7 linked regions of the Coturnix japonica genome follow. The protein of the gene in region 6 interacts with the protein of the main gene of each other region in a pairwise test. Links are inferred from orthologs where the notes say so. Each region holds a gene or a part of one and is shown on either strand. Other genes may lie near its edges. The genes, in order: AMFR, ZNRF2, MID1, TRIM32, E3 ubiquitin-protein ligase RNF103, UBE2N and LRSAM1.

What was found.
Region 1: the proteins of UBE2N (region 6) and AMFR interact in a two-hybrid assay, tested with the Homo sapiens proteins (2 studies listed by BioGRID and IntAct). The link is inferred for Coturnix japonica from reciprocal best matches to the Homo sapiens genes UBE2N and AMFR.
Region 2: the proteins of UBE2N (region 6) and ZNRF2 interact in a two-hybrid assay, tested with the Homo sapiens proteins (4 studies listed by BioGRID). The link is inferred for Coturnix japonica from reciprocal best matches to the Homo sapiens genes UBE2N and ZNRF2.
Region 3: the proteins of UBE2N (region 6) and MID1 interact in a two-hybrid assay, tested with the Homo sapiens proteins (2 studies listed by BioGRID and IntAct). The link is inferred for Coturnix japonica from reciprocal best matches to the Homo sapiens genes UBE2N and MID1.
Region 4: the proteins of UBE2N (region 6) and TRIM32 interact in binary tests that used the Homo sapiens proteins (3 or more experiments, as listed by UniProt). The link is inferred for Coturnix japonica from reciprocal best matches to the Homo sapiens genes UBE2N and TRIM32.
Region 5: the proteins of UBE2N (region 6) and E3 ubiquitin-protein ligase RNF103 interact in a two-hybrid assay, tested with the Homo sapiens proteins (3 studies listed by BioGRID and IntAct). The link is inferred for Coturnix japonica from reciprocal best matches to the Homo sapiens genes UBE2N and RNF103.
Region 7: the proteins of UBE2N (region 6) and LRSAM1 interact in binary tests that used the Homo sapiens proteins (3 or more experiments, as listed by UniProt). The link is inferred for Coturnix japonica from reciprocal best matches to the Homo sapiens genes UBE2N and LRSAM1.

Annotation. Positions count from the first base shown.
Region 1 is NC_029526.1:510,352-514,169, forward strand, and holds part of AMFR (E3 ubiquitin-protein ligase AMFR), read right to left. Parts: coding exon 3,806-3,818; intron 3,080-3,805; coding exon 2,947-3,079; intron 2,408-2,946; coding exon 2,274-2,407; intron 877-2,273; coding exon 805-876; intron 720-804; coding exon 609-719; intron 1-608. UniProt on the Homo sapiens protein: E3 ubiquitin-protein ligase that mediates the polyubiquitination of lysine and cysteine residues on target proteins, such as CD3D, CYP3A4, CFTR, INSIG1, SOAT2/ACAT2 and APOB for proteasomal degradation.
Region 2 is NC_029517.1:38,037,583-38,042,181, reverse strand, and holds the start of ZNRF2 (E3 ubiquitin-protein ligase ZNRF2), read left to right. Parts: upstream 1-1,668; 5' UTR 1,669-1,872; coding exon 1,873-2,314; intron 2,315-4,599. UniProt on the Homo sapiens protein: E3 ubiquitin-protein ligase that plays a role in the establishment and maintenance of neuronal transmission and plasticity. Ubiquitinates the Na(+)/K(+) ATPase alpha-1 subunit/ATP1A1 and thereby influences its endocytosis and/or degradation.
Region 3 is NC_029516.1:112,129,113-112,133,572, reverse strand, and holds the start of MID1 (E3 ubiquitin-protein ligase Midline-1), read right to left. Parts: upstream 3,078-4,460; 5' UTR 2,921-3,077; intron 1-2,920. UniProt on the Homo sapiens protein: Has E3 ubiquitin ligase activity towards IGBP1, promoting its monoubiquitination, which results in deprotection of the catalytic subunit of protein phosphatase PP2A, and its subsequent degradation by polyubiquitination.
Region 4 is NC_029532.1:2,238,731-2,241,330, reverse strand, and holds part of TRIM32 (E3 ubiquitin-protein ligase TRIM32), read right to left. Parts: coding exon 1,269-2,600; 3' UTR 1-1,268. UniProt on the Homo sapiens protein: E3 ubiquitin ligase that plays a role in various biological processes including neural stem cell differentiation, innate immunity, inflammatory resonse and autophagy.
Region 5 is NC_029519.1:77,623,919-77,628,206, reverse strand, and holds the start of E3 ubiquitin-protein ligase RNF103, read left to right. Parts: upstream 1-1,215; 5' UTR 1,216-1,320; coding exon 1,321-1,546; intron 1,547-3,107; coding exon 3,108-3,247; intron 3,248-4,288. UniProt on the Homo sapiens protein: Acts as an E2-dependent E3 ubiquitin-protein ligase, probably involved in the ER-associated protein degradation pathway.
Region 6 is NC_029516.1:40,865,108-40,869,502, forward strand, and holds the start of UBE2N (ubiquitin-conjugating enzyme E2 N), read right to left. Parts: upstream 2,987-4,395; 5' UTR 2,867-2,986; coding exon 2,837-2,866; intron 1-2,836. UniProt on the Homo sapiens protein: The UBE2V1-UBE2N and UBE2V2-UBE2N heterodimers catalyze the synthesis of non-canonical 'Lys-63'-linked polyubiquitin chains. This type of polyubiquitination does not lead to protein degradation by the proteasome.
Region 7 is NC_029532.1:870,925-875,514, forward strand, and holds the start of LRSAM1 (E3 ubiquitin-protein ligase LRSAM1), read right to left. Parts: upstream 2,948-4,590; 5' UTR 2,831-2,947; intron 2,252-2,830; 5' UTR 2,154-2,251; coding exon 2,082-2,153; intron 1,767-2,081; coding exon 1,710-1,766; intron 1,414-1,709; coding exon 1,369-1,413; intron 987-1,368; coding exon 909-986; intron 460-908; coding exon 391-459; intron 83-390; coding exon 1-82. Other genes in the region: RPL12 (60S ribosomal protein L12), read left to right, coding at 3,069-3,105, 3,182-3,255, 3,367-3,465, 3,970-4,051, 4,481-4,567.

The sequences.
Region 1 (3,818 bases), on a different chromosome or scaffold from region 6:
TTAGCAGAACCTGGTGACCTCCCCCACTAATCTGTTCGTTTAAACTCTTTCATTCCCAGCCCTGAGGGACTCAGGCCCCCAACAAAACCATCTAATCAGACATGACCTCCACAAATGTTCTGGAGCATCACCATGTAAAGATGTGCTGTACAAAGAATATTTGCTGTTTTTCTCCTTAAAGTTGGTATCTGAAGAGTATATAAGGATCTAACTCCAATTTTTCTTCATTGCCTGAAAACCAACATGCACACATGGAAGAAGAAAAGCCTGAGACCAACAGAGGGAAAAAAAAAAGAAGGCCTATTTTACCAAGTATTTGCACAGAAAGGCAGGGTACAGACTTGCAACTGAGATACCATAACTCAGTACTACCTGTGTAGCAGCTGACAACAAATATACTCTTAGTTCAGAGGAAAGAAGGCAGCAAATGAAACAGCTCCAACATGGAAGCAAATGCTACTTTTGCTCTGTAATTAGAAGCAAACCAAGATGGCCCAGGCAGTCAGCAACCACAGCTCAGCTGAGTCGGCTGCTTGTCACCCTGCTCTAAGTGTCACACTTGCCCCACATAACCTCTGTCCCCAGGCCCTGCAGCCCCAGCAACATACTTGTGGAAGAGATGGCCGCAGGGGAGCTTCCGCGCGGATTGCATGGAGTCCCAGCAGATGGCACAGTCGTCATTATTGACTGCTAGCTCCTCAGGTGTCGCAACTGCAAACCTATAAAAGGAAGAGACAGCAGTAATGATTATCCCAGCGCAGCACAGCTTTCTGCCTAAAGGATTCTGCACTGAGGAAACCTTACCCTTCACATTCATTTTTCCTCGAGGGAGGCGTGCCAGGATGTTTGTTACCTTTTCCATAACCGGAACTCATGCTGTAAAGGAAAACTATCATACACGTCTCTCCCATGCTTTCTTGCACAGTTTCTTTTGGCACATCTTGCATACACCCTAAGCCCAAATGACTTACTGCCTTCCACGGAGCATGATCATTAGGTCAAGAACCTCAAGTTATAACCTGTATAGATTTGGCTTATGTCATTTTTCTAAATGAGCTTTAATAGCTGTACCCATCAAAATGTCTTCCTAAGTACTTCTGGTTTGACAAATTTTGCCCTCAGATTTCACCAACCTCTATTTGTCTTTGAATTATTATATGTTTAATCTACAGTGCAAGTATCTATTGCATAGTACCCAAAGACAAACAGTAGAGACAGTACAGAGATGAGTAGCACAACATTTTGCAGTACAGCCACTGCACAATACACCCAAAAACCAACTACACAAAGTCATCAGACAAGATGCCTGAAACATTAACAACTCAAAATGGCTTTGAGAGCAATATAAAGGGTTCAGCAGCTGCGTTACCAGAAAGAAGTAACCCACTGTGGATGAACATGGCTATGCAGCTCTTAACCTGGTGTGATAGCACTACCTGCCCTTTTGCAAAGAAAACACTGTGAATCTCCAGGGAAGACTGCTCTCTCTACTTAGAGCACAGCAGGCATCAGAGCTGGTCAAGTCCATCAGAGTTTAAAATGAAAATGGTACCGCAATGTACAAAAAAACTCCCTGCTGCTCTTTATTTTACTGAGGACACAGCTGAACTATGACAAGGCATCAGAGATGGAGAAGCACATGGCACACTCTCAGTTTTTAGCAGGCCTCTCCACTTCTCTACATTGTCTTGGTACAGGGGGATGGCCTAAAGTAATCCTGAATGGCCCTCAGCTCTGCTCCAGGTGCAAAGCTGGCTTGAAGTTGGCCTCACGTTTAATGAACAGGTTGTTTCTTTTAATTAATATTTTGATTAAATTTCTGGCAGTAACTGAATGACACAGCCTGAGGAAATTAGAAGCATTAATTTCCATCAGAGCCAAAGGCAATACATGAAGCAGGCTGAGCTCTGCAGACCTTATGCCACCCCTACCACCTAGGGCAGTACATAAGGGCAAACAGAAGAAATTCTGGACTGAAGAGTTCACTTGTGATCAGCATTACTTGTACAAAAGTAGGATGCCTGGTAAAAGTCAGCCTGTGTATCTGTTAAACTGAGACAGAGAGTCCCTTGTCACAAATACAATGGAAGCAAAGACTGTAAAAACACACCCTCTACAGCAGGAACATTTCAGAGCAGGTTTTGGAAGACAGCATCTCTCCAGCTCACAACATACCATCGAATATCAAAGGAACATAAGAGAACCCCCAACTTCTTGCCTGGGCTCTTGTCCCCACAGCACAATGCACACCCTAGAGCAAGCAGGCAACTCACCGGGCCTCCATGTTTCCAACCACACGCAGGTAGTTCTTGTGCCGCCGAATCCTTCTCTGGACCTCGTGGAACAGGTAGCGCAGCTGCATGAAGATCACCAGGCTGGCCATCGACAGCCAGATATTGCCAAACAGCTTTGGCGGGGAAAAAAAAACAACAGCAGGGATCAGAAGTGGGAACTGGGAGGCAGCCACAAGAAACTGTATCTGTGCTTAAAAGAACAAGAACCCAGGAAATCAGTTCTTCTATTAAGAACATTCAAACTAACCACACTTGCTCACAGGAAATGCTTTTCCTCATTTCATTTCCTCAAACAGCATTTCCCTCAAAAACCACCTGAGTAGCACAGGGTTCATAACAGGAGAAATGGTGTTCAAGCCCTGTTTGTCTGAATGCCCCCTGCTGCCAGTGAAAATAATTCCATGTGATTGCTCAATAATAAAGCCAATTAAACAGGTAATTACACAGTAGTTAATACTCCATAACAAAGTTATTTATGAAGACTGCAATTACACAGGACGAAAGAATGCCAGAAGCCCCATACAACACTTTCCTCTTCATTTACTGAACTTCTCTACAACACGAAATAAGCAAAACAAAAATGCCTATTTGAAATACCCAGCACCCAGTGTTTTAAGGCAAGGTACTCAGCTAATGCTGCAGTGCTCCATACCAGCATATGGATATGATGCATCAAGTCCAGCGAAAGCAAGGTCAGCTCCATGACAAAATCCGTGTAGTACACATATGTGCCTTTACCTTCCCACGTTCCTTCATGGTTGAGATCCCAGAGATGAATTACATATCTGCAAGAGCCCAGACATTAACTTTATTTGCTGGTTTTCATTAGCTAAAATCTCTAAGCTATTTATTCTTCTCGGTTTGGATTCTTTGCCCTTTGTAGGCCCAGCACTTTCTTTGTTTTCTCTACTTTTACTGGTTTCAAACAGCAATATCTGACAAAGGCAAAAAGCAGCCAGTGCTCAGCCCACACTGGCACTACAGATGCCACCACAAGGCACAACGGTGTTCACTAAACTCCTGTGTGCTCGTAGAGCCCCTTTTGAGATGACAGTACTGCATGCTGCAGACCCACATTGCTCAGCCTCTGAGGTGTGTCTCAGGTGAGGCATTACAGCTTAATGACAGACCCAGAAAGCTGGTGGTGACCTGGACAAAGAGCTTTTGCTCTTTATGTCATGCCCTACATACGCCTTGCAGATGCATGAGCTTTCTGCTTCTCTAGAGCAAAAGCTAGAAAGATCAGGAGCTTAAAAGAAACACAGTATGATGGTATCAAGGAGCATACATCAACCCCCAAACAGCAGTGCCAATCCATTTTAATCCATGTCTTAAGCACTGCTCTATTAGCAGCCTCTAAAGCAATCCACGCACTGTAGAACTTATGTTTCAAAAACAGAAGGGGCCTGTCCCCAAATACACATTTGCAATGCAGCAAGGTGACTGCATGCAGCTCTTACATCCACACCACGTGCACAAACACCTTGAGCAATCACCACAGCAGTACTCACCGCAAAATCACAT
Region 2 (4,599 bases), on a different chromosome or scaffold from region 6:
ATGCAGAAAAGATGGAGGTGAGAAATCTAGCTGCTCTTCTGAAGACACATGTGTTCACTGGGGTGTGTGTCCTGTTTAGATTCACACTTGATAGTGAGATCTGCAAACATTAAACACCCCAGGTGCAAAGCAAAAACAGAAGCGAAAGGAAAATCATATCTCACTGGGAATATCCACACTTTCTGTGGAGGCAGGGGCTGTCCTGTTGCTGTCTGCAGCTGAGCCCTTTTCTGTGAGATACTCTATGCTGTTAATTTTCTGACTGTACCACTGAATAACTCTTCAGATGTCTTCAGGCCTATTTTTCCCCCACAGGCTTTACTGTTTAATTTTAAATTGAATACAAGGTCACTCGTAACCAAATAGGATCTATTTAATACCTGCTCAACTCTTAGGATCACCATAAGGAAAATACAGATGGTACCATGGTACTGTGTAGCAATGCAGTACTTCCAAAGCGCTGTTTGTCCTAACAGCCAGTGGAGATGCTAAGAACGCACTAACAGCTCCGAGCACACTGGCCTCTAACAGGGTGAAACAGGCAACGAGCGTTCTGCAAGCAGCAGAAATTATGAGTCATGTCTGCAACATCCTTTACCCATGTGAATTCTTGGAATCGAGTGAAAGAGGAGGAATTCCTATGGCAGCTTTTCCTTCTGTGGGAACATTAACGGGATCTCAGGCTTTTCCTGTTGAAATCTCTGAGATTTTTGCCTCCTCCACCGTTCAAGCAGAGGTAGCTCTTCTAGCACACCAAGCTGTGGGCCGCACTGTGTCACAAAGCATCTGTAACAGGGAAGGGGAAAGGTTTGAATGGGAGGCCTCCATGACTGTTCACCTGTAGGAATCACATTTGTGTACATTCTAAGTGTAAGACGCTCAACATCACATACCATTAAGAAACCGAGTATTTCTGCTCTTGACTTGTTTCACTTTGAGCAAACCGAGCCCGTCAGCCACACAGGTACAATTCACAGCAATTTGGGCGCAGTTTCTATCTGTGTATTGCATTCAGCAACCGGGAGACTCCAATGAGTGAGGACAGCCTCCATCCTCCCGGCCATGAGCCGACCTCAGGGCTGCACCAACCTTGTTACATGGCTTATCCGAGATGCCACTGCTCGCCAGGAGCCGCGTCAGGACAACCTTCCTCCCCACCCGGGCACCCCGAGGAACGACACAGACAAACTTGGTGGCTGCACACTGTATTAGAACCACTACGGCCGCCCCTCAGCGAGTCACACGGACAGACGCAACTCGGCTCGCCGCGGCCCTCGCTCCCGCCTCCGCCCCTAACGGCCGCAGCACCGGCTGCCGGCGGCGGTTGAGGCTTTAACCCCTTCCCTTCTCCTCCTTCCCCCGGTCCGAGCAGGGTATCGCCTCACCCCGTGAGGGCATTGCGGAGACCGGCTCCGCCGCCGGCCTCGCCCTCAGCGCCGCCCCGCACCTTGCGTGAGGAGAGGGGCGGGCGGCTCCGCTCCGGGTTCCAACACCCCGCCGCGCAGGGGGAAGGAAGGCGCCGTGAGCCGCCCGCTCCCAGCGCGGGGCCGCCCCCAGCATGGCGACAGCGTAGAGGAGCGGCCGTGCCGCGGTGCCCGCCCCTTCCCGCCGTGCCCCCCAGAGCGCGGCGCGGAGCGGCGGGATGGCGGCGGCGGGGCCGAGCGGCGGCTGGGCGGCAGGCAGCAGCAGCAGCAGCAGCAGCAGCACCGTGCCGAGCAGCTCACGGCGGCGCCCCGCATCCGCCGGCAGCGGCCGCGCCGGGACCGCCAGCTGAGCCGGATCGCGGCTGGCGGCTCTACCCTACGGCACCGACGCACCGAGCGACGCGTTGCAGCGCCCGGCGCCTTCCTCTCCGAAGGGCGGCGGGGGACCATGGGCGCCAAGCAGAGCAGCCCCACCGCCGCCAACGGCCGCACCCGGGCGTATTCGGGCGGGGATTTACCTTCCTCCAGCGGCGGCGGCGGCGGCGGCGCTAACGGGACCGGCGGGCGGGCGGCGAGCGGGCGCTACCCGCACCTGGCGGCGGCGCCACACGGCGCTCACGGCGGATCGGCGGCGGCGGCGGCGACGGGGGGCGCGGCGGGCACGGCGCCCCGCAGCAGGTCCCTGGGAGGTGCCGGCGCCGCGGCCCGCGCCGCGCAGTCCGCCTTCAACATCCCCCACAGCAGCGGCCCCTACGGCTCGCAGGACTCGGTGAGCAGCACCCCGGAGGAGGGCGGCCGGGACCGGCCCGCGGGGGGCGGCGGATCGGCCGGCGGGCCCCGGCTGGTGATCGGCTCGCTACCCGCGCACCTCTCGCCGCACCTGTTCGGAGGTAAGGGCGGCCGCGGGGGTAAGGGGGGGAGCTGAGGGCGGCCTCTCCGTGTACCCATGGAGGCTGCAGCCCGCCCGCTGTTTGTAAAGAGTTTTTGGGAAGTGGGGGCTGAAAACTGGAAGCAAAGCCGGGGCAAAGCACGGTTAGGAGGAAACGGAGCCTCCCGGCCGCCGACTTTAGACTTTAATAGCCGTAATCAGTGCCTGTGTAAATACTCCTGCCTTACTACTTACATAATTAGAATTTAATTGGATCATGCGTCTCGGCCCTTTATTCTAAAATCGGACCAAACCTCTCTTTAGATGCTGATCGCTACTTGGCCGACGCTCGTGCCTTCGAAGCTCTCGGTTTCTCAGTTGTGAGAGCTGAGAAAAAGAGAAGCGAAAGAAAGTTGTTATTTCCCCTAAGAGAGGGGCGCGGAGGGCTGCGTTTCCCTACCCAGGCGGTCCCGGGGACGGCCACGTGTGTTGGGCAGCAGAGGAGCAGGAGGCGAACCAGCAGCCCGGGCCCTTTGAGAAGTGCATTAGACTTGGAGCGAGTGTGTGCAGCTTTTTTGTCTTTCTAGTTTTATTTGTTTAGCTAGTGGAGGGTTTGCGTTTTACTGCCTGGGTTCTTTGCTTTAAAGTTAAGAGCCTGCACGGAAACTGCCGACTGCTTGCAGCTCTACTCATTCTAAAGGTCGCTGTTTGTACTGGTCACGCATTCAGGTGCAAGGTGACATTTTCCAGTGGATTCATTCTTTTTGATAAAGCCAATATTTATCATGGAATACATGTGTTACAAGCAGGCTGAATACCGACCGGCTTCCCCAACAGCTTTATTCTCAGTAGGGCAGGACTAACAGCAAATTACCACGTTTCTGTATTGCAATTAATGGACTCGTGCCTGGTGTTTGCAGCAGACTGGGTTCCCTTCCCTCCCGTGGTGCGACCTGTTGGCAACTGAAGCCTGGTGGGGCGCTCAGAGCTCTGTCACATGCCCATCACTGTACTGACCTGGGGGCACCAGAGCTGTCACTGCCTGCAGCCAAAGCCATCTCCTCCCTGTGCAGCTCTGAGATGCAACAGAGAGCTGCCAAGCCCTGTCATGTTAAAGGAGTATTTGCCCTGAAGAAAACTACTGCTGTCATAGCACCGAGCTGCTGAATAACAGTGCTTTGTTGCAGGGGTACTCGCTGTAATGTCAGGATAGCTTGCTGGAGGTAGGTGCATATGTTTCTTTTAGTGAGGAAAAGATGCCCTACTGCGAGTGTTGTGAGGTTCATGCTAAGCACAAGGGAATTAAAGCATATGGCTTTAACGTTGTTGTAACGAAAAACTTCTTTTTTTCTCCTTGCCTGGATATTATCTGACAGCCTGCCTTGCTTCAAGGAAGCTCTGAGTTAAATGTAAGTGCTGCAATGAGGAGCAATGATCTACCTAGCAAACTGGTCACATGCAAGAAGGTCTCTTCAAAACAACTCTGAACTTGATTATGCTTTTTTTTATGGCATGTCATAATGCATTAATTGCTTTACAACAGCTTGTCTTCTACAAATCTCTGAAACTGGGCTACTAAAGGGGATGTAGGTTGAGGTGAAGCAAAGCTTATTGCTTCTACTGGTGCAGAAGAAGCACCGGCAGAGGTGCATTCTCTTCATCTCCTCATGAAAAAACAAGGAATGCCATACGTTGGGATTTTAGTGGCCAGTGTTAAAATAGACTCTCCATAGGTGGTCATGAGGTGATCATAAATCATTTTGCTTTTTCTGTTCTAAAAATCTTAGTGTTTCTTATCAGGATGAATAACTGTTTAACTGGAATACAGCAGTGCTGGTGAAAAAGACCTCATTCGATATACTCCTTTTTTACAACTTAAATATTCTGTGATATCAGTGACACAACCAGATGATGCTGAATTGAGACACCCCAGTTTAGTTGCAGGCTTTGTGTTTCCTCTGTTTCTCATACCAATTAGGTGCTTGGAATGTGTATCCTCAATGAAGATCGTAACTTGGTATCCTCAGAATGGTGAAAAATAACTTTGAAGGAGTGTTTTTGACCCGACGGTAACTAGCTCAAGCTTGTCTAGGTGTGGTATCTGGCATTTAACTTGTGTATTAAATGCATGCTGAAAGTACCCTCCCTTGTTTTGTAACTTGCAAACACAGTTGTTTCTTTTCGTCTTGAAAACACCAAAATTAATTTGTAGAATTAGCACAATAGTTCTATTCAAATTAAAAAAAGAAAGAAAGAAGAAGAAGTTGAACTGCATTTTTGTCTGTTTATAGTTTTAGGGATACTGCT
Region 3 (4,460 bases), about 71 Mb from region 6:
GGTCATTTGCCAGAGCGAAGGAAAGGGGTCATTGTAAAACCCAGCCATATCTACTGGATTTTGTTGTGATTTCAGAAAATACACAAGATCTATCCTTTAAGTTGCTTCATCTACTATTCAATTCTCTTCTTACTGTAAACAAGGTTAAATTTTTTTTCCCAGCCATATATCCTGGTCAGAGAAGGACTCGTTTTTTGTGCATCTGAGTCAATGAAAACTCATGCAGTACCACACCTGCAGCACCAAGTTAATATATATATATAAGTAGCAGCACAGATCCTAGTTCTTGGTAGGTTCTGGTGTGATAGCACAGGCTTTGCAGCTGCCCCATTACATATGCTTTGGGTGGCAGAGGAGGGTACAAGAAACCTCATGGCAAAGAACATGAGTGCCCACACTGCCGCCCATCTCCCTGGAAAAGCCTGCAGTTGGGACCAGCCCCAGGATGGCCACAGATTGCTGATCAGATCACAGAATCACTGAGGTTAGAAAAGACCTACAAGATCGTCCAGTACAGCCATCCACCCATCACCAATAGTCCTCACTAAGACATGTCCATCAACTCAACATCCAAATGTTCCTTGAACACCTCCAAGATTGGTGACACCACCACCTCCCTGGGCAGTCCATTCCAGTGCCTGACCACTCTTAGAAAAGTAATACTTCCTAACATCCAGCCTGAATATCCCCCGGCACAACTTGAGGCCATTCCCTCTAGTCCTATCACTAGTTACACAAGAGAAGTGGCTGTCACCCAGCTCACTACAGCTTCCCTTCAAGTAGTTATAGAGAGCAATAAGGTCTCCCCTGACCCTCCTCTTCTTCAGACTCCTAGCTCCCTTAGCTGTTTCTTATAAGGCTTGAGCTCCAGACCCCAGACCCGGGGCTAGAGTAAGCTCATGCCAGCCCAGAAGATTCTGTGCAGGCTTTGAATCAGAGTTCTATCTCATTTTGCACTGGGAAGCCGAAAGACCATGAATGACTGTAGCACAGCTAGATGCCAAATGAAGGGGGACAATGTAATTTACTAGATATGCTAGGGGAAAGGAGATTCAAGAGTAAGTTTATATAGTGCCTTATCCTGCCCTTTAAATTCATACTTCAATTACTAACGACCCTACTAAAATCTATCCTCTGTGCTTCCACTCAATTAACATTAATAAAGGTTATATTCCCCAGAGATGTGGTGAATGCCACATCCATGGAGACACTCAAGGTCAGGTTGGACTCGGCTCTGAGCAACGTGATCTAGCTGTAGGTGTCCCTGTTCATTGCAGGGGAGTTGCACTAGGTGGCCTTTAAGGATCCCTTTAAACTCAAATGATTCTGTGATTGTATGATATGAACTGAAAATCACAAGGATGAGAAGTGATACAAAGGAACTGCATGGTTCTGGTCCACTGGTACTGTATTTGCTGTACTGCCTTCCACCAAGACCAAAGATGTTTCATGACAATCAACTCACTAGCTGCAGTTCTGAAGCACTGTCTAGTGTATACCTTCTTTGCCATGTTGATGCTCCAATAAAATGCTCTACTGAAACTACTGGTGTGTGTCATTCCCACTGATTCCTCAATAGGATTGCCATGCATATAAGTGAATGAGAACATGTATCAACACAGGTGAATTACAATCCTGATGCCTCCTTAGTAATGTCGCATTACAGACTCCAAGTAGACATTCATTCAGAAAAATGTAAAAACTTTATGAGTTTTTAAATAACAATAATCTTCACTCTAAGCTTTTAAGCCCTTAGTAGTAAGACTGTACTTTACTTTCATACTTTGGTCCTCAGAAGAGATAGAGCTGAAACTCCCATAACTAGTGCATTATCACTCATACGCCCACTTAAATATGATTAACAATGAAAATTAGTGAAAAGCATTGTTATGTCTACCAATTGCTAAGATAACAAAAGCATTTTGAAAATAAACTCCACCTGTTGCTGAATAGTTCTGTGTGGTTTCTCCTTAGAAGGCACTTTTCAGAGAAATAACTCAAAGTATTCTTTCATTGCTATCTTTTATACCCTAACTGCACACAACTTGAGTGAGCTGCCACAGAACTCACGTGCTGGCTGATGCTAATGGCTAACTATCCTGAAGGACTGCATAGCAGCATTCTTCCAACTAGAAAGCTGTTTGAGGTAAGTTTTCAACTTGACTTTTTATTATGTCTTCACCAATATCTACACGGAACAAACTTTTCCTCCCCTTCTTTTCACTCTCTCAGTCAGGATTTTACACAGAACCTCCTGTGAAGGTTAACAGAATGTGCAAATATTTCCCAGGCAACACATCCTTGTTGTGAATTGGTGTAATCTCTAACAGTAGAAGAACAAGTTTTGCTTACATTTCTTAGAGCAGAACCTGCAGTTTGTTTTTTTAACTCACTGAAAAAGCTTTATTACTGCAGGAACTCCCTGTATTCCAGCAAACGCATCCCAGCTACGCTGACTGGGCTGCATTCACACACATCACAATAAAGAACACTGAGATCCCGGAAGGGCTAAAGGAGCACACCTTTCACAAAAGGCATGTTTCACGCTACAAAGTGAAGGACTGCTCTCCAGACGTGACAGTACCATAAAATTCCGCATTTGCAGAGGTTCGTAGAGTTAAGCAAAGCATCTCAGCCTCATTTCCAGTCACACATCTGATTTCCATCAGAGATAAGAAAGTTTGATTATCACCCCGGTAAAAAGGTGTACGTGAATTAGAAGCGCACAGAACGTCAGATAAGTGAATGTAATCGTGCGTACAGATGTTGCTGCAAACAAGAAGCACGCTTTTGCTTTGCAGCCTCTCTAAAATCCAGCAAGCCATTTCAGGGGGGGAACAGCAGTTGCGGGAACAAGTCTCGCAGGCACCCCCCGAGCCTCTCTCCCACCCTCCCGCCTCAGGGCTCCGTGCCGACATACCTGCCACTCCATTGTTGCTCTTTTCCTCCTCGTCTTGAAGTTGAAGAAAACGGGATAGTCCTTCCCAGCGCTGGGCTGCTCTGCTGCTTCTGTTGCTGCCTCTGCCGCTGCTATTGCTGCTGCCGCCGAGCCCTGTCCAGCCCGCGCAGTGCCGCTCTCTGGGCGCGGAGTTAGCCCCAGCCCCAGCCCCGCCGCCTGGCAGGTTTCCTTATATAGGTGAACACTAATTGCATTCCTAGTGGAAGAGGCTAGCCGGGAGAGAGCTTAACTTTGTTAACTCCACAAATACCAAATGGGGCTGCCTGCCTGAAGTTTGCTTGCGTAGCACTTCAGTGTCACCAGAGGGGAGAGTGGGTTCCTTGCAGCAGTTTAGCACCTATGAAGTTATTCCATTTCTTACATCTATAGCAACAGTGAGTGCTATGTCACTATTACGTTAAACACTTGATATTTTTGCAGGACACCTGCCTTAGCCTATACTTTTGACTCCAAGAAAAGCACAAGGGTTCACAAAGGTAACACGCACGCACATTCTGGTAGCATTAAATTAATTCCAATTGTATCAGTTTTCTATGCGAAAAGGCTGCCATATATCAAACGTTACATGAAAAAGAGTTGCGACACTGCAGTCAATGGGGAAGAAAAAAAAGAAAAGAAGCAGTACAAGCCAAGGTTGTTTACTGTTTCCTACTTCCTTTTCTAGACAATGTAATAGCTGAGCTTCTGGTGATAGACCTGTCTTAGTCCGGGAGGTGTGATTGTGATACATTAACAGACACACCCACCCACACAGAGATAAATGGATAGGGTGCTTACCCAGAACAAGCACACACCGCACTCTGCAGAGCAGAGGTGTACCTGACTCCTCTTGCCCATCCACTGCTCACTAAACCCCTTCTGCAAGATCAACTCAGATGTCTTCAAGAAGCAATCAGTTAACCGTAGGGAAAATCATGCTGCTCATTTCCCTTTATACTACTCACACAAGATTCCCCTGTTCATTATGGCCCTCCTTCAACAAGCCGCAACACTAACATAGGCAGAGAGGGACAGGGAGCGAAAGACAGGAAGGAGCAAGTAGAACAAAGGGTGAATGAAACCAAAACAAGAAATAAGAGTTAAAAGATTTGATCAAGTGATGAAAAGCTGATGTTTTAAAACAGTACATTGAACTATAAAGTGTATCTTTTTTTTTTTTTTTTTCTTTTTCCCTTCTTTCATTTGTTCCTTCGGATGTATCCCTTATAACTTCAGACAGAAAAGAGACAAAATCCTCTTCCTGATGACCTCTAGACCACCCAAATGCTGGAAATTATCATTACCCAGTGGACTAGAACTTTTCTTATCCCCATGTAATATATATGTCTTAGAGATCATCAAATAATATACTGTGTAGAAAAGCTATTCCTAATGACCACTCCTAACGCTTTCAATACTTCTTTCCTTATAATTTTCCTCTCCCCTGAGGCGTAAACATTCAACCTCTTGATACTGCAGGAGCTTGGCTTATAAGGGGAGAAAAATGAAAAACAATACCAAT
Region 4 (2,600 bases), on a different chromosome or scaffold from region 6:
TATTTGAATGCATCCTTCCTTCAATAAACTATTCCAGGCAAGCAGCACCACACTGAGGTACACATTTATCAGTGAGGAGAGTAGCGCTGTGGGGGCTTGGTTCACACAGCTGCAGTTTTGTGCTTCATTTGGCCCAAAGCCGTGATGAACATGAACTCTGGTGCCTGCTGGTGCCATAAAAAAAGCTGAGGAATGTCGTGATTTGCTGTGCAAGGAGAAAAAGGCAACGCACCAATGGATGTGCTTCCGAGTGCTAAAAGAGATTAAAATGAAGCAATCTCCCCCCCTCCCCAGCCCCCCAACCCTCATCGTGGGATATAAAGTGCAGACATGTGGAAACCTGACTGTAAGGGTGACGATCTGGAGAGCAGGCAGTGAGGTGCAGGTGAACATATAGTTGTGTGTGATCTAATTTACTACCCCCCGCCTCCCCCCCAGATGAAGGTACCTCCCAAAGACAGTTCCCAAGATACATTTAATAACAGAACAATCCTGAATATCAACAGATTTCCCCTGTTTTTTTCTCCTCCAGTCCCCACCCTCCTCCTCCCCAGCAGAATTCTTAGCAGTAATAATCACCCTGTTGCCATCAGAGGGCAGTTTTCTGGCTCTGCTCGGTCTCCCATGATTGCACTGTACTCACTTCACATTGAACAGACGCGGTTCACAAACGGCACGACAGGGGCAATCTCCTGAATAGCAGAAAAGCAGAGAGAGAAACCCCTTGCTCCTCAGTTTGAAAGTAAGCTCCATCTCCGTGCAGTTTAAGAGGGCTATTTTATTTTATGCAGTGCTGCAATCAGAAATTGCTTTCTGTAGTAGTTGCCCAGACAACTGCTACCGAGTTCCTCGTGAGTACCATGGCGAGGAGAGGATTGCCTCTCCAGTCCCCTAAAGGAAGGTGATTTAGGGCAGCCAGTCAGTGTTTATGGCACAAAGAAAGGTACAGTGGATGAAGACATAGTCAATGCAGAATAAGGAGGTGAGAAGGGTTAAGGAGCGACTGGTCATTTAGCAAAAAACCAATATTCCAGAAGGATCTCTTCCTTCTTGCTTTTCTTTTCTACTGTGCAGATTCATAAAGAGAAAATGCAGGGCACCACCATGTTAGTTGTCTTGTTCCCAAACAGAAAACGTGATGGCCTCCGTGCCAATCCCTGTTGGGCCGTGGTGCAGTTTTCTCAGTGTTTGACACTGGTCCCTGTCAGATAGCAGTGAGGCTGGAAGAACTGCTGCTAATGACAGGGGTTTTCACCAGAGAAATGCCTTTAAGGGGTGGAATATCTTCTCAGATGGTAACTGTAGATCTTAATGCAATGATCCCAACAGTCCAGCACCAACAGCTGCCCTTTGGGAGTAATGGCAATACCAACCGGGCAGGTGAGTCCCTCCCGGATTAAGATATTATAGCCACCTCCTTTAGGAAAATGCAGGATTTCTTTACGACTGCTGTCAGCAACGATGAGGTCTCCTCTGGCATCTACGCACATCCCAGCGATGCACCTGAAATCCTCGTTCTCAGAGAAGAAGTGGCTAATCTGGCGTCCCAGCTGCCCGTCTGGGCCGACAGAGCCAATAGAAAAGCCTCCTTCTAAGTGGTGTTCGTACTGCCTGTTTTCCAAGTTGAGCCCCAGCCCCTGAGTGAAGTATATGGTCCCTTCAGCATCACAAGTGACAAACTTGGGCCGCACCGCGCTACACAAGCAGGTGTACTTCACCACCCCCACGCCACGGTCCACAGTGAAGCACCACAGCTTCCCCCCTTCCACATCAGTCACCACAAACTGCCCAGAGGGCAGAGCCGCGATGCCCCAGGGCTTGCTTAGCTGGCTCCTGTGACATGCCACACAGTGGCCATCCATGGTGTACACCTTGACGGAGTTATCATAGCTGTCGGTCACACCTATGAGGCCGTGGCAATTCATGGTGACAGAAAGGGGAGTCAAATTAGGCAGGTCTGCTCCAAGGAAGCTCAGTACAAAGCTATCGATTCCGCTGGGGCTCCGGCGGATCTCCTTCAGGAAACCTTTGCGGGTGAAAACCTGGATACGAAAATTGCCTCGGTCCGCCACAAGCACCTCTCCTTGGAGAGTGACGTAGAGGCTGACGGGCAGATTGAACATCCCTGGCAGGCTACCCTTGGAGCCCATCTTCTTGATGAAGTGACACTGTTGGATGCTTGCAGCTGCTTCGGGCATCCTTGGTTTGACTGGGGAGGAATTTGGTGTGCAGCTGGCTTCTTGTTGCATCAAGTCAGGCTCTCTAAATGATGCCGATGAGGATGCTGCAGTTTCCATGAGTGATTCTTCCAAGTTAACAGTCCGGGGTTTCTTCACCACCTGCCCAATCTGCAGTGGTCCCACATGGCTCACTTTAAGGAGTTCAACCTCGTGAAGTATCAGCTCCCCTGGGAGACTGTTTGTCAGTTCTGGTTCTTCCTCATCTGCTGCCTCCTCCAAGAGAGCAATATCTCCTTGCTTTATTTTGGCAAGGAAATAATCACAGCGAGACAATATCTGCACTTCTGCTAAGTTCAGCAGATAAGCTTGTTCCTCCATTACCTGATTATTTACCTTCTCCACTTCAGACAAAGAGGTGGT
Region 5 (4,288 bases), on a different chromosome or scaffold from region 6:
TGCCAAGAGGGAAGGATTAATCTCCCTGATGCTGTGCCACTTTCTCATCAGGGAGGTGGGCCCTTGGAGGGGGGTTTAAAACATGTAGAAAACCCTCTAACTGTTTTTTAACAGCTCTGAAGAGTGTGGCCGTTTAGATGCTTCCTACAGGTCAATATTTATGTTACAATTCGGTTTTCATGCCTTAGTACAGTATTACTTCAGCGTGTGTGCGCTCCGAGGGGCTGTCAGGATTCTTTAGAGGAAGCTGTGCTATTTCTGTGTTTGTGTATGAGTTGGCAATTTTAATGCAAACTGTGGTTTCTTAAAATAACCAAACCCACAGAGGCGATGCTGAGTTCCCTTTGGAGGAGAGCCTTCATCTCAAGGACCGAGTGTGACTGCAGTGTGTTTCGAAGCAGCCTAAATCACCTCTTACAGCCTTTCTCATGCTTCCTGTGCAGAACCCCAGTGAAGTGGGTTGGTCTACAGCCCATAGCAGGGAGGGTTGAAACCAGCTGATGGTTATTGAATCAACCTAAGCCATTCTATGGTATGATTCCCTGTGGTCCCATTGGGTTTCTGGACGTGTTCAGGACCCTGGAGATGTGGCACCCGGTGGTGGTGGTGGGGATGGATGGGTCGGTGGTTGGACTTGGTGATCTCAGCGGCCTTTCCCAACCTTAAGGATTCTATCTATGATCCTGTGAACTGTCCAAGCACTTCAGCAGCACTTTATGCAGCACTTCTGGCTGCATAAACATCATTCTCCGAATGAAAAACCTCAGTCTGGGTTGCACTTTACCCATTCTCGCTGTTTTCTTACACGTATTTTACAGCAACCGCAGCAATCGGGTTCTGAGCTGATACCGAGTGCAAGCACAACCCCTTGATTTACGGCACAACCTCTTCATTTATGGCGCAGCCCATTTGCTCTGCAGGCCTTCCCTCTGCCGTCAGCGGGCGAGAGGCGGCGGGGCCGGGGCTATAGGGACCTCCGGGGCCATAAGGGCCTCCGGGGCAGCGAGGCGGAGGCTCGGTTGGGCTCGGCTCGGCTCGGCTCGGCTCGGCTCGGCTCGGCTCGGCTCGGCTGGGCTCGGCTCGGTTGGGCTCGGCTCCGTGGGTCCCCGCCCGCCCTCTCACGTCACTTGTTATGTCTCCGCCGGCGGCCGCGGCTCCGCCGGGGCGGGGACAGCGGCGGGAGGGAGGCGGGGGGCGCGCAGCCCCGCCGCGCTGACAGCCCCGCGCCGCCTCAGCGCCGCCACCCGCGGGGCAGCGCCGGCCGCCCCCCTTCCCCCCCCACAACCCCCGGCTTGTCCGTCCGTCATCCCGCCGGGAAAGATGTGGCTGAAGCTGTTCTTTTTGCTGCTGTATTTCCTGGTGCTTTTCGTCCTGGCCAGGGTGTTCGAGGCCGTGGTGTGGTACGAGACCGGCTTCTTCGCCACGCAGCTGGTGGACCCGGTGGCGCTGAGCTTCAGGAAGCTGAGGACCATCCTGGAGTGCCGCGGTTTGGGGCACTCGGGGCTGCCCGAGAAGAAGGATGTCCGGGAGCTGGTGGAGAAGTCAGGTAGGGCCGCTTCTCCTCCTCCCTTCCCTTCCCTCCCTCCCCTCGGGCCTAAGGCGGCAGCTCCGGCCAAGGACATCGCGGTGCTGCGGCGCTCGGACGGCGGCATTAGCGGCATTAGCGGCATTAGCGGCGCTCCCCGCTGCGGCAGCGAGCCCAGCACGGGCCCGGAGTGACCCCGGAGCGCCCCGAGCCCGGCACGGTGTTGGGGCGGCTGCGGAGGGAGGCACGGGGTGGAGGCGTTCAGGAGGAGGAGGAGGCCTCGGAGAGGCTGCCGAGAAATGGTTTCCCTTCGGGGAACGGTTCCCTTTGGCCCGGCTGAAAGCGAATGTCATCCGCCGTGAAAAACGAGGAGGAAAGAATCCAGATACCCGCAGGCTGCAGGGTTGCTATTTACAGTCGGGGCCGGGTTGTTAAGCCGCGTCCCTTTCCCTACGGTGCGTTTAGAGGTGCCGTCAGGACGGGGATGGGGGAGGCAGCGCTGTGGGATCGGTGGCTGCAGCGTGGAGAAGGGCAGGGAAGTGCTGCAGAAGTTGGTACAGGCTGGTTAAAGTGGGGGCTGCAGCCCTGAGGGTGCGTGCAAAGTCCAGGTGGTGGTGGTGGCCCAAAGGGAAGTGGCCCAAAGGGCTCGAGATGGGCTGATGTAATCAGCGTAGTGCCAGCCAAGCAGGACATTGCTGCTTGTAAATCACTGGGCAAAGGGCTGCTGTTAGAGAGAGAAAAATCCCCGTGCTACATACAGGAAGGGGACTCAGGAAGCCAGACAGAAATAAAGAGAAGGGTTTGGGTGAATACATGGAGAGCCACAGCCACAAAACAGGCTTTAAGAATTGATGGTAAAGCCAACCATCTAAATCTAATTCGCTTGTATTGTTCGTTGTTTATTTATGTTGTTTATTCACTTTGCTGCTTCACCAGTCGGCACCAGGAGGCAATTTGGGTATTGTTTCCAATCACTTTCGCTCCTTGGCTGTCACGTACTTTCATGATGTCATTATGTTTGGGCTGCAAATGCTGCAGGGAAGTGTTTAACGCCAAACAAACTGTATTAACTGACTTGAAATGTCATGGAAACAACTCTGGTGCCAAGAGGCTTTGCAGAATTTCTCTCATAATTTCAAAGTTGGAATTCCACGAATACTTTTTGTAAGCTCTCGAGCCTTCCAGCTGTAACACAGCACTTCTTTCTCCCCTTCATATTGTAGGAAGCCTTTGGGCAAGACTTCACTTCTTCCAGTTTAACATATTAGTTGCCAAAATAGCAGTTGTCATGAAGGGTTTTCAGGTAGGGAGGCTCAGGAGATGCTCATTTGCTCTCACGTGGGATACGTCTGTGTATTCATGTGCGCCGTCAAATTGTTCGTAGTCAGGTCACTATGGATGGAACTAAAGTAACTTCAGTTCAGTGCCTTCCTACTGATAAGGGTTTTGAGCACCCATTTAAAACCTACGTAGTGAAACTGCTGCTTTCTGAAATGGAATCGTCGTTACTATTAGAATTTGCTGCTATGAAGTGATCTGTCACCATGTTCAAACTGAATGTGTCCAGTTGTCTCTTTTTCAGGTGACCTTATGGAAGGGGAACTTTATTCTGCTCTCAAGGAGGAAGAGGCCTCGGAGTCAGTTTCAAGTACAAACTTTAGTGGTGAAATGCATTTCTATGAGCTTGTAGAAGACACAAAAGATGGGATCTGGCTGGTACAGGTATGGATGTTTTATCATGTATTTTTTATCTATTTATCTCATTCAAATTAAGTTTGGAAGCAGGAATTGTTGGGAGTGGTTAACTAGTAGGAAAAATGCATAGCAGAGAGATGATGGCAGAGATAAACCACATCAAGGAGATCAGAAGGAGCAAATATGTTCTAAAACCTGAGCAAGACTGGAAGCAACAGAGTTCCTACACAGAGAAGAAGAAAACCTGTTACTCAGTGGACTGCTTTTAGAAGACAGCCAGCAAACAAGCAGAGTAGCACACATGTAGCACACAGGCCCTGATACTGTGCAAGTTTGTGTATTGTATGAAGTGCATTAGGTATAGATGCTCCCAGCTGGCACAGGAGCAGTGCCTTTGGTCTTGCTCTTCTTTTATTATATGCTCAGACCCGGTTGGTTTAAGTGCCTATTTATCTAAGGGGCTCAGAGCAGTTTAGCAGTCTGTTACCTCTTCATTCACAAACGAGAGAGGTGCAGCTTTCCAATCCAGAGGCCTGTTTGCGCAATACATTCTGGAAGCTCAAAGTTTGCCTTTACCCAAACCTTGTGGGCACAGTGATTTACAGCGTGCTTCCCCAGGGCTGCATGAGAACGAGAAAACATTCAGACTGCTGCAAATGAGGCTCTGGAACAATTTATCATCACTGTTGGGAACATATGAGAACATAAGATAAGTAGTCTAGATTAAGAATGTGAAAAAATACTTTCCTTCACCAACATCTCCATTGATAAGAGATCTTTGTAGGTGCTACCAGCCTCAGTGGGCAATCAGATTTTTCCACCAGGTAATTCACTGTTTAGTTGACAGCTCTCCTTCCTGCATTAAATGGTTTGTCTGATCTCCCCCCTTCATGTTTTCTATTTAAATTGATTGCCAGGATTCAGTGACTTTCGGTTACTAGTGCTCTGCTATCTCCACCTCTGAAACAGGCAGTGAGATGACGGATTACCTTTGTATCAAAATGGTGTTGGCATTTTGGAAGCGATCAATGAGTCCTAATTTCAGGCTTAAATCATACAGGAGGGGAT
Region 6 (4,395 bases):
GACCTGGACACCAACCCATGAATGATGAGATCACTGCAGCAATGAAAACTGAAAGAAGAAATGCTAAAGGATGACACAAGGCAACGGTGCCCATCCCATTCAGATATATTCACTGCACTTGACACAGCAGTGAGGTGGTTTTGAATGTCAGCCAAAGGAAAGGAGAAAAAAAAAAGATGCAATTCAATTCCTTACTCTACTGGAGCAACATGACATTGCAACACAGGAAATAATTGGTTTAACAAACATTTGAAAATGAAGATTTCTGGGTTTGCTTACTGGGTACTTTGCAAAGATTCACTCCTTAAATATGTGCAGTAACAAAATAGTTCACAGTGTTTCTCCAGTTCCAATTATACATCTGATTTAAGGATTCACATCTATCACATTTTCTACTCAACATCTGTGATGTGCTAACACCATAAGCCATACTTCTAAAGCGAGTCATCTCCTGAGCTTACAGATCATTCACCCCACTTGTTTAAAGCCTGTCCTTCCAAGTAATCTGAGGACGGCGAGCCAGGAGTAATCCTTTATCTCCTGTAAAAAATGCTTTGCAATATCTATACTGACACCTTTTAAATGAGCGTGGAGAAGTACTGAAAATATAAATAGAGCTCTCTGCTGAGACAAGGAAAGCCAGAGCTCTCCTGCTGGGCTGGATGACAGTCTGCACAGAGCTGAGAAGCAGGCTGGAGAGCACAGGCCGCTAGTCAACCTGAGAGCCAGGCCATCTGCCAGCAGTCCATCAAGATGAGGAATGCCAACTGCATTTTGAGCCCTTAGCTGGGTTCTGCTACGGTGCACACACACTGCTAGACCCCAACAGCTATCGCTGTGCTTCCCTCAGATGACCACACAAAGGCCACACGCGGATCAAAGGGAAAAGGTCTTCTCCTTCCCTCCTACTACTACTCCTAGCAGTAACCCAAAGCATTTAGTTATCAAATTTGCAACTTGTTACTAGAATTATTTCAACCTTCTACAGCCCTTTTCTGTCATCTATCTTTCTCTCTTCTATTTCCTTTCCTCATCTTTCAAATTCTCACTGAGTTCATTTACTCCCCTCCAACTACGACAAGCAGCAATAGGATATTTAACTCCAACATTAAGATCAGTAGCAAGCATCAAAACAGCCCTCATTCAAGACTCATGAAGCTCGTTCCTAGATCTTCAACTCTGCAGCTGTGATACTTTCAAATATTACCTTACACATTCAAGACTGCAATACTAGTCAGGTTCAAGTCTTAGACCATACATAGCGCTGATGACCTCACGTATGCACAGCACAGGAGCTACAGAAACGGTCACCCATTTCAAGACTCAAAGGCCCTGAACTGTCTGCAGACATCCTACAGTGCATACCTGGACATAGACAGCCCAGAATATGCACCACCCTGCAACAGACAACACTGAAATATTCCAAGCAAGACTCTGCTGGAGAAAATCTAGACCATTTAGGTCTCTGCTTGGGGTATTCAGATGTCTATCCCCAGGGACAAGAGCAACATTCTCATACCATCCTCTATCTTGGAAACGAGCTTCATGCATTGCTCTAGGTTTTCCCTAAGAAGCTAAGAAAGAAGAAACAAGGGTGCTAAGAATGAAATGTATGGACTAGCTTGGCCAGAAAACTATCAAAACCTACAGCAAAATCTAACACGGACATATCAGCTTCACAACTCATCTCTCACCACATCTCTACAATAAACACCAGTTCTGCTATATCACGAGATTTCCTCAGACCTGAAATATATTCACCACTGTATGCTGCGCACCAAGGCAACAGGGCGACCAAACTCACTTCTGTAAGATTGACACGTTATTTTGCCTGTATTTCTGAGCATCAGTCACAGTTCAGCTGTTTTCATACACAAAAAAAATCTTGTTGAATTTTTATCCCATCTCCTCTAACATCTGCTATATAGATAGGTAGATATAGATATACTGACTTATATATATATATCTTTATTTTTTGCATCAGCTAGTTAACACATTGTGTTCTTGTGTTTTACAATGGTTGCCAACTTTGCAAGCTCAACCAAGAAGAGCTTTGCAGCATTATTGCAAGTTGTGACATTCATTCAGGTGGAAATGAAACAAGTGCTACCACTAACCAACTAATGAATCTTACTGGAATCGTTTAGTAACTTCAACAAGAGCAGTCGGTGAGCACCGATTTGAGATTGCAAACCACATACTGCAAACCGAGTAGGATCGAGGATGCCAACCCAGGAAGCATTCACATCGGCTACAGGACCAAATCATCAGCAAGACGAACTGCATTGCAACGCAGCTCCCTGCGCCTGTGCCGAGTGACTCCATGCGTTTGAGCCAGCCTGCAGTTCCCTCCGAGGTGTAGCTGGAAGTGGCCGAAGCCAAAAGCGAAGCCTGGCAGACACAGCTCGAGGCACATCAGAGCCGGCAGCTCGGAGCGCACGTAGCAGCCTTACACTGCGCCCGGAGCCGCCCGAGCCCCGAAGGGCCGCGGGACGCCGCCCGGGCGGGCACCGCGACGGGCACGGCCTCGCTGTCGCCAGCCGCCCACAGCACACCGGGACGCCCCGGCGGCTCCCCCGCCACCCGATCACGCCGCCGGGCCGAGCAGGGAGCGGCGGGGACGGGCGGGCCCGGCGCGGCGCCCCGCTCTCATTCAACCCCGCGTTGGCCGGGCCCGGCGGCGGCTCCGCAGGATGCGGGAGGCCTGGGAGCGGCCCTGCCCCGCGCGGCCACAGCTCCCGCGCACCGGAAGCGGCGCCAGGCCCGACCCTGCCCGCCGCGAGAGCGAGCCGCGGGTCGGTGCCTCGCGGCCCCGCGGGGCGGCACGCGTGGTTACCTTGATGATCCTGCGGGGCAGCCCGGCCATCTTGTCTCGTCGGGGTGCAAGATCGCGGGCTCGCCTCCGCTCGGGGCTCGCACACAGCCGGAAGTCTCCCGCTCCGCTCTTCCGGTGGCGCCGCCCTCGGCGCGGCACGTCGGGCAATGTAGGCCGCGCCCGCTGCCATTAAGGGGCGAGTCCTGCCCCGAGTCCCGCTGTGAGGCCGGAGCTCCGCGCTGACAGAGCTCGGATTTCATCAGCGTGGTACAACGTGTGTCAGCGAACAGTCACAGAGATGTCTCAGGACATGTCACCTTTGTGATACTAAAGGCTCGTTAGTCACGTCTCTTCCTCCTTGACAGGAAGGGAAATGTTGTAAAGATGAGGTGTTTTACATGGATGTTGTGGTGTTTTACATGGATGGTGTTACCTCCGCAGCATCCTGTGGCTCCCTACTACAGCTACGTAGCAACAGTAGCATCCAGCACCGTTGCTGAGCAGATGGGAAATGAAAGCACAGAAAGATGAAGCAGTTTCCCAGGAACAAGACCCTGCACGAACAATTCTCTGTCAATTGCTTTAGTCCTGGTTCACAAACAGGACATTTAGATCAGCTACGCCGTTTTCACACACTGGTAGAATGGACAGTTCTAACACTGGCAAATCTGGGCTGTGTAATTGCCAACATGCTCCTGTCAGAAATACTGCAAGCTTGATTTGTGTCCTAAGATAGAAACATTCTTATCAACCCATGGTGGTTACAATAACATGAAGCATGTCAGAAGTGCCGTGTCTCCCTCCTTATAATCAAGGAAACCGAATAGCCTGAGTCAGAAGGGACCCACAAGAATCAACTCCAGCTCCTGGCTCAACAAAGGACTACCCAAAATTCAAACCCTGTGTCTGCAAATATAGTCCAAATGTTCTTGTGCCAGTGCCCACCACACAGTGAAAGAACGTCCTAACTCCCAGCCAGACCCTCCCCTGATACAGTTCCATGCTGTTCCCTTGGGGCCTGTCACTGCCCCCCATAGAGCAGAGCTCAGCACTTCACCTCCACTCCCCATGGGGAGCTGTAGCTGCCATGAGGCCTGTCCTCAGCTTCCCCTAAGCCAAAATCTTCATCCTCCCCACATTGCTTCCCAAAAACTTACCAAATTTTCCTTCTCTATCTTTTGAGAAGGCTACTAAAAGGTACATAGTTGTTCTACACAACTTGATCTCCTCAGCTGTTGAATACACCAGTAATTACAAACTTTTCATATCAACTCATGAAAAACACCAGCCCTGTGCATTCTTGTACACACGTTTGGCCCTTTAAACGCTAAATTGTTCTCCTAACATTATGGGTGTAACTTTCTGTGAAATCGATGAAATCAATGTATTGACATGTGGAAAGAAAAAATGCATCAAACATTTGCAGAATCGGATCTCAAAGAGTTCATCAATAACATTCCCTCATCTTGCCTCGGTGAAGGGTGAGTTCATTTGCATTCATTATTGAGCTTGTGAAATAGCTGTGCTGAGATGTGCTCCTTCAGCAAAATCTGGTCGTACTAGTTACAACTGTTCTTTAA
Region 7 (4,590 bases), on a different chromosome or scaffold from region 6:
TCACGTTGAGGATCTGGAGCTGGGCAAGATCCCCTATGGATTGTGGAAGACATTTTAAGAGATTCCTTTCAAGGTTTAGGACCTAAGATGTTAACAGAAAAGATAATCAAAATATCCTTTACACAAGTCTCAGGTTTTCTCCATATCTATGCTGTTGGGACTATTCTGCAGCCCCAGAAAGGGTGATTTAAAATTAGTTTTCTAGGCTATAAAAGCAAAAATGCTTTTAGAATGAGTTCTTAATAATCTGCCAGTGATATGCATCCAGAGCTGCACCCCAAAGCAGAGCAGACCCTCTGAAATGCAATAAGACATTTAGTGTCTTAAGCCAGTATGAGCTGTTCCCTAATACACCATTTACAGACGCTTGGCATCCAGGAGATCCTTTACCTGAAGAGATGTCAGCTGACCAATATCAGCAGGAAGCGATGCCAGCTGGTTGTCGTGCAGATCTAGAACCTGCAAGAGCAGCGAATGTCATCAAACAGTGTTGGGGAAAGACATCATCGTGCAAAAACAAAAGGCTGTGAATTATGGAATTACTGAGCAATGGAAAACTCCAGAGTCCACTGCTAAACAGGTGACCAGGGAAAGGAGAGGCACCACAGGAACTGTCCCACCAAACTGGACGTGCCAAGTGAACAAATGATCTCCATGAAAATCAGCCTGGCAGAAAAACATATTTTCTGCAGGGTCTAAGGCCTGAACTGCTCCATAGAAAGACCAACATCAGGTGCCCCCATCACCAGCCTCACCCACATTCAAGTGATCCACCAGGTTTTGTAAACCTACAAAGGGGAGCCGTCACGTTTTGTTACCACTTTTTGGTAACAACAGTCAGACAGGAGGAATTTTTCGGGGTAGTGTGTTTGAATGCAGTTAGAATGGCTGTTAAAAGTCACAATTACCTTCACAGTTATGAGACTCAGGAGGCTACAGGACTTTGGAACTAAAGATGTGAGATTATTTGTATGAATGATCAGCACCTGAGGAGGGAAAAACCCATTGAAACGTGAGCATAAGGGGCACCAGGATCCAGAATAAGACTTTTGCTAAGACTTAATTGCAGAGGTTGTGAAAGAGTTTTGTATCTTATTCACAGTCACCTAAAATAGTAAATGAATTGTAGAGGTCAAATATTTAATATTAAACAGACTTTTAGTTATTTTGTATGAGAAATATCGTTCATTAGGTTAGGATAGAAATCATCAGCTCGTATTTCATGACAGCAGCAGTACAGCACACACAACAGGTTAGTCCTGCCAAATGGCCACATGCATCACAGACAGCCAGAAACAACCATCTCAAACACAACAGCCACATTCATGCACAATAACAGAATTATCCACTTCAGGATCGTATCGTTACCTTTTTCTGCAAGACTTTACAAGTTGCAAAGGCCCCGTATGGAACCTAAAAACAATTTACAAACGGTCACATCAGACTTCACCAGATCCCATATTTTCTAAGCACTTCTACAATACCCACCTCTAAAGTCTCAGTAATTAACTTTAATGCAAATGCACATGATACTTAAGATACTTTAGCCCTGAAAGCCAGAGAACATGCATACAGAGAAAGAAGTGGACCAGGCACAAGGCCATTTCTGTCCCAGAGCTCACAGACATGATATTAAATCTGATGCTTGGTAACAAATAGACTGAGAAATAAGACCTGTCAGCTAATATCGAAAGTTCCAGAGAACATACCTCTAACAGCTCACACTTGGATATGTCAAGAACATCATCAGCACCAGCCTCTTTTGCCTGGTAGGAGAAGATACACAGAGTTAGAACATGAATGAATGGGCCCTTGCTGCATATTGGGTATTGCTGGAAGTAGCAAGAAGGAGAAAGGACGGGAGGTCCTGAATGTGGGGTGGGCTGGAAGATGTGATGTGGAACCACAGGAGAGGAAAGGGAAGGAAGTAGCACAGAGGGGATGTGTGGAGGGAAGGGCAAGAACAGACCAGGAAGGCAGGAGTAATATATTAGAAAGGCAACCTGCTAACCTGGATGAGATCAGTAACGAGGCATCTGGGACTATGTACAGACAACAGAGGATACAGCAGTGTTGCTTACCAGGCACATTTGGTATTCAAGGCGCTTCTGAGCATCCTCACTGGGTTTCTTCTTACGGAAGAAGAGCGGCATCTTGAGTTGTGTTACAGCTCTTAATGGCACAGGCTATCAGCATAAAGGAAGGCAGGTGGATCTTGGAGTGAGAGGAACCTGGACTACAGAACTGTGCTCTAAGAAGGGAGACAGAAAAAGAAGAGAAGGATCACAGCCTTGTTTAGACCTTTGGCTGGGACACACAGGCTGAGACCAACACACCGGCACAGCGGAAATGTCAGTGTGAGTCATGGGAGCACTGATGAACAACTGGGACAGGAGGAACGTCCTGTCAGTGCTGTGTGAGATAAATGAAGACACACACTGACACACACAGGAAAACACGGGATCCACTGCAGGATGGGAACTAAGAAAGCTGGGTCCAGAAAGCAGGAACCAGGGGCAAAACCGAGATACTCAGACTCAAAACCGATAAACTCCGTCACAATAACGAGCAGCTGTGAAATACCAGGGAGTAAATTGGGGCTGGAAATGAGACAATCCTTCATTTTGAGATGGCAGGGGAAGAGAAACAGGCAGGATTGATGCAGGGCAGAACAGGGGGGACGTGGATAAGGAACAGCGAGACCCCCCGCCCCGCTCCTATCAGTGACCCGCAGTGTCAGCACGGCCACAGAAGCGGCAGCATCGTCCCCCCATCCCCGCAATGCGTCCCGCAGCCCCCCAGCCCCCAGCCCCATCCCGGCCGCTCTCACCGACGCCCGCTGTCATGACGCCCCGCATCCCCTCGGGGCCTCCAAACCATAGAGACGAGCGGTCAGAGCGCCCCCTGCTCGCACCATAGAGTTCTCTGCGTGCGAGCGGAGGGCGGATCCCGCAAGCTGCCAAGATCTCGCGAGATCTCGGCGCCTATATATATCTCCCCCGCGCTTCCCGCAGCCTTTCCGCCGTGGCGCAGGCCGCAGTCGGTGCGATCCGCCGCCATCCGCCGCCATGCCGCCCAAATTCGATCCCACCGAAGTGAAAGTCGGTACGTGTGGGGTTGGGGGGGGCTGTGGGGGCGGGGATGGCGGTAAGGAGCTGACGGAGCGTTGCTGTGCCCACAGTGTATCTGCGCTGCACCGGAGGGGAGGTCGGAGCCACTTCCGCGTTGGCCCCGAAGATCGGCCCGCTCGGCCTGGTACGTGTAGGCCGCAATGGGGGGGGGCGTTCATTAATGGTTTATGATCGTATTGATTGATTGATGATCGTATTGATCGATTTATGACCTTAACGTGTGTGTTGTGCTCAGTCTCCCAAGAAGGTCGGGGATGACATCGCCAAAGCCACCGGGGACTGGAAGGGGCTGAGGATCACGGTGAAACTCACCATCCAGAACAGGCAAGCGCAGGTACACGACGCCAACAGGGATCGCTGTGTGAGCGGGCGCTGCTCGCTGCCAACACAAGCACGATCCCGGCAGGGTCGACTCAGCCCTTCATCCTTCCGAGGTGGATAAAATGAGAACCACACCGTGTGTGGGGGCTTCTGGGAAGGCCTGGGTGGGAACGGAACGTCTGAGCCTTCTGAGTGCATTGGTTGTGTGTGTTGTATGGGATGTGAAACGAGGGCTGTGGAGATCTGAATGAAGCCTTTCTGAGCCCGTCCTGCAGCCACCCGCCACTGTACCTGCCTTGAACTCAGTAGCTGGTATATTCCAGTGGTGAGCTGAGAGCAGCCCCAGCCCAGGAAGCAGCGCTCCAATGGCTGTGGGAAGGGCTGTGCCGAAAGGCTGGGAACAAAGTCCTGTGCTGGAGGGAGAGGCGTGTGCTGGGGAGCAGGGAATGAAGGCCTGGCCTTGTGTTATCTGTGTGCTTGGATTGTGGGGAAAAGAACCTTATCTCTTTTTGTTTAGATTGAAGTGGTTCCTTCTGCCTCTGCTCTGATTATCAAAGCTCTGAAGGAGCCCCCCCGTGACAGAAAGAAGCAGAAAAACAGTAAGTTTTGTTCCGCATTTGGTTCTTGGTGTCATTTAGTACTGAAAAAGAACGTGCACCTTGTGGCTGCTTGGTGTGAACTGGCAGACAAGTGCCAGGGGGGTTTTGGGGCGGTGGGATTTCCTTAAACAAGTGCATCAAAGTGAGCAGAACAGCCACCCGCCACTGTACCTGTCTAATAATACAGTGACTTGTATAGTCCAGAGGTGAGCTGAGAGAAAATGCCAACCTAGGAAACAGAGTTATTCTTCTTGTGGGTAGCTCTGTGCCGAAGGCTGGGAACAGCAGCACTGATCACAGCCCCAGTGTAGCTGTAACCTTACGGCTCTCTGTGTGAACTGAGGAATGCTGCTCCTCAGTTGGAGAATGGGGGGCTGGAATTGCACTGTGCTTCACTGAGCTCACTGGTGCCATTGCTTTGTTTCACAGTAAAGCACAATGGCAGTATCACCTTTGATGAGGTAGTGAACATCGCCCGGCAGATGAGGCACAGATCTCTGGCTCGAGAGCTGTCTGGTAAGTACTGACCTTAAGGGATG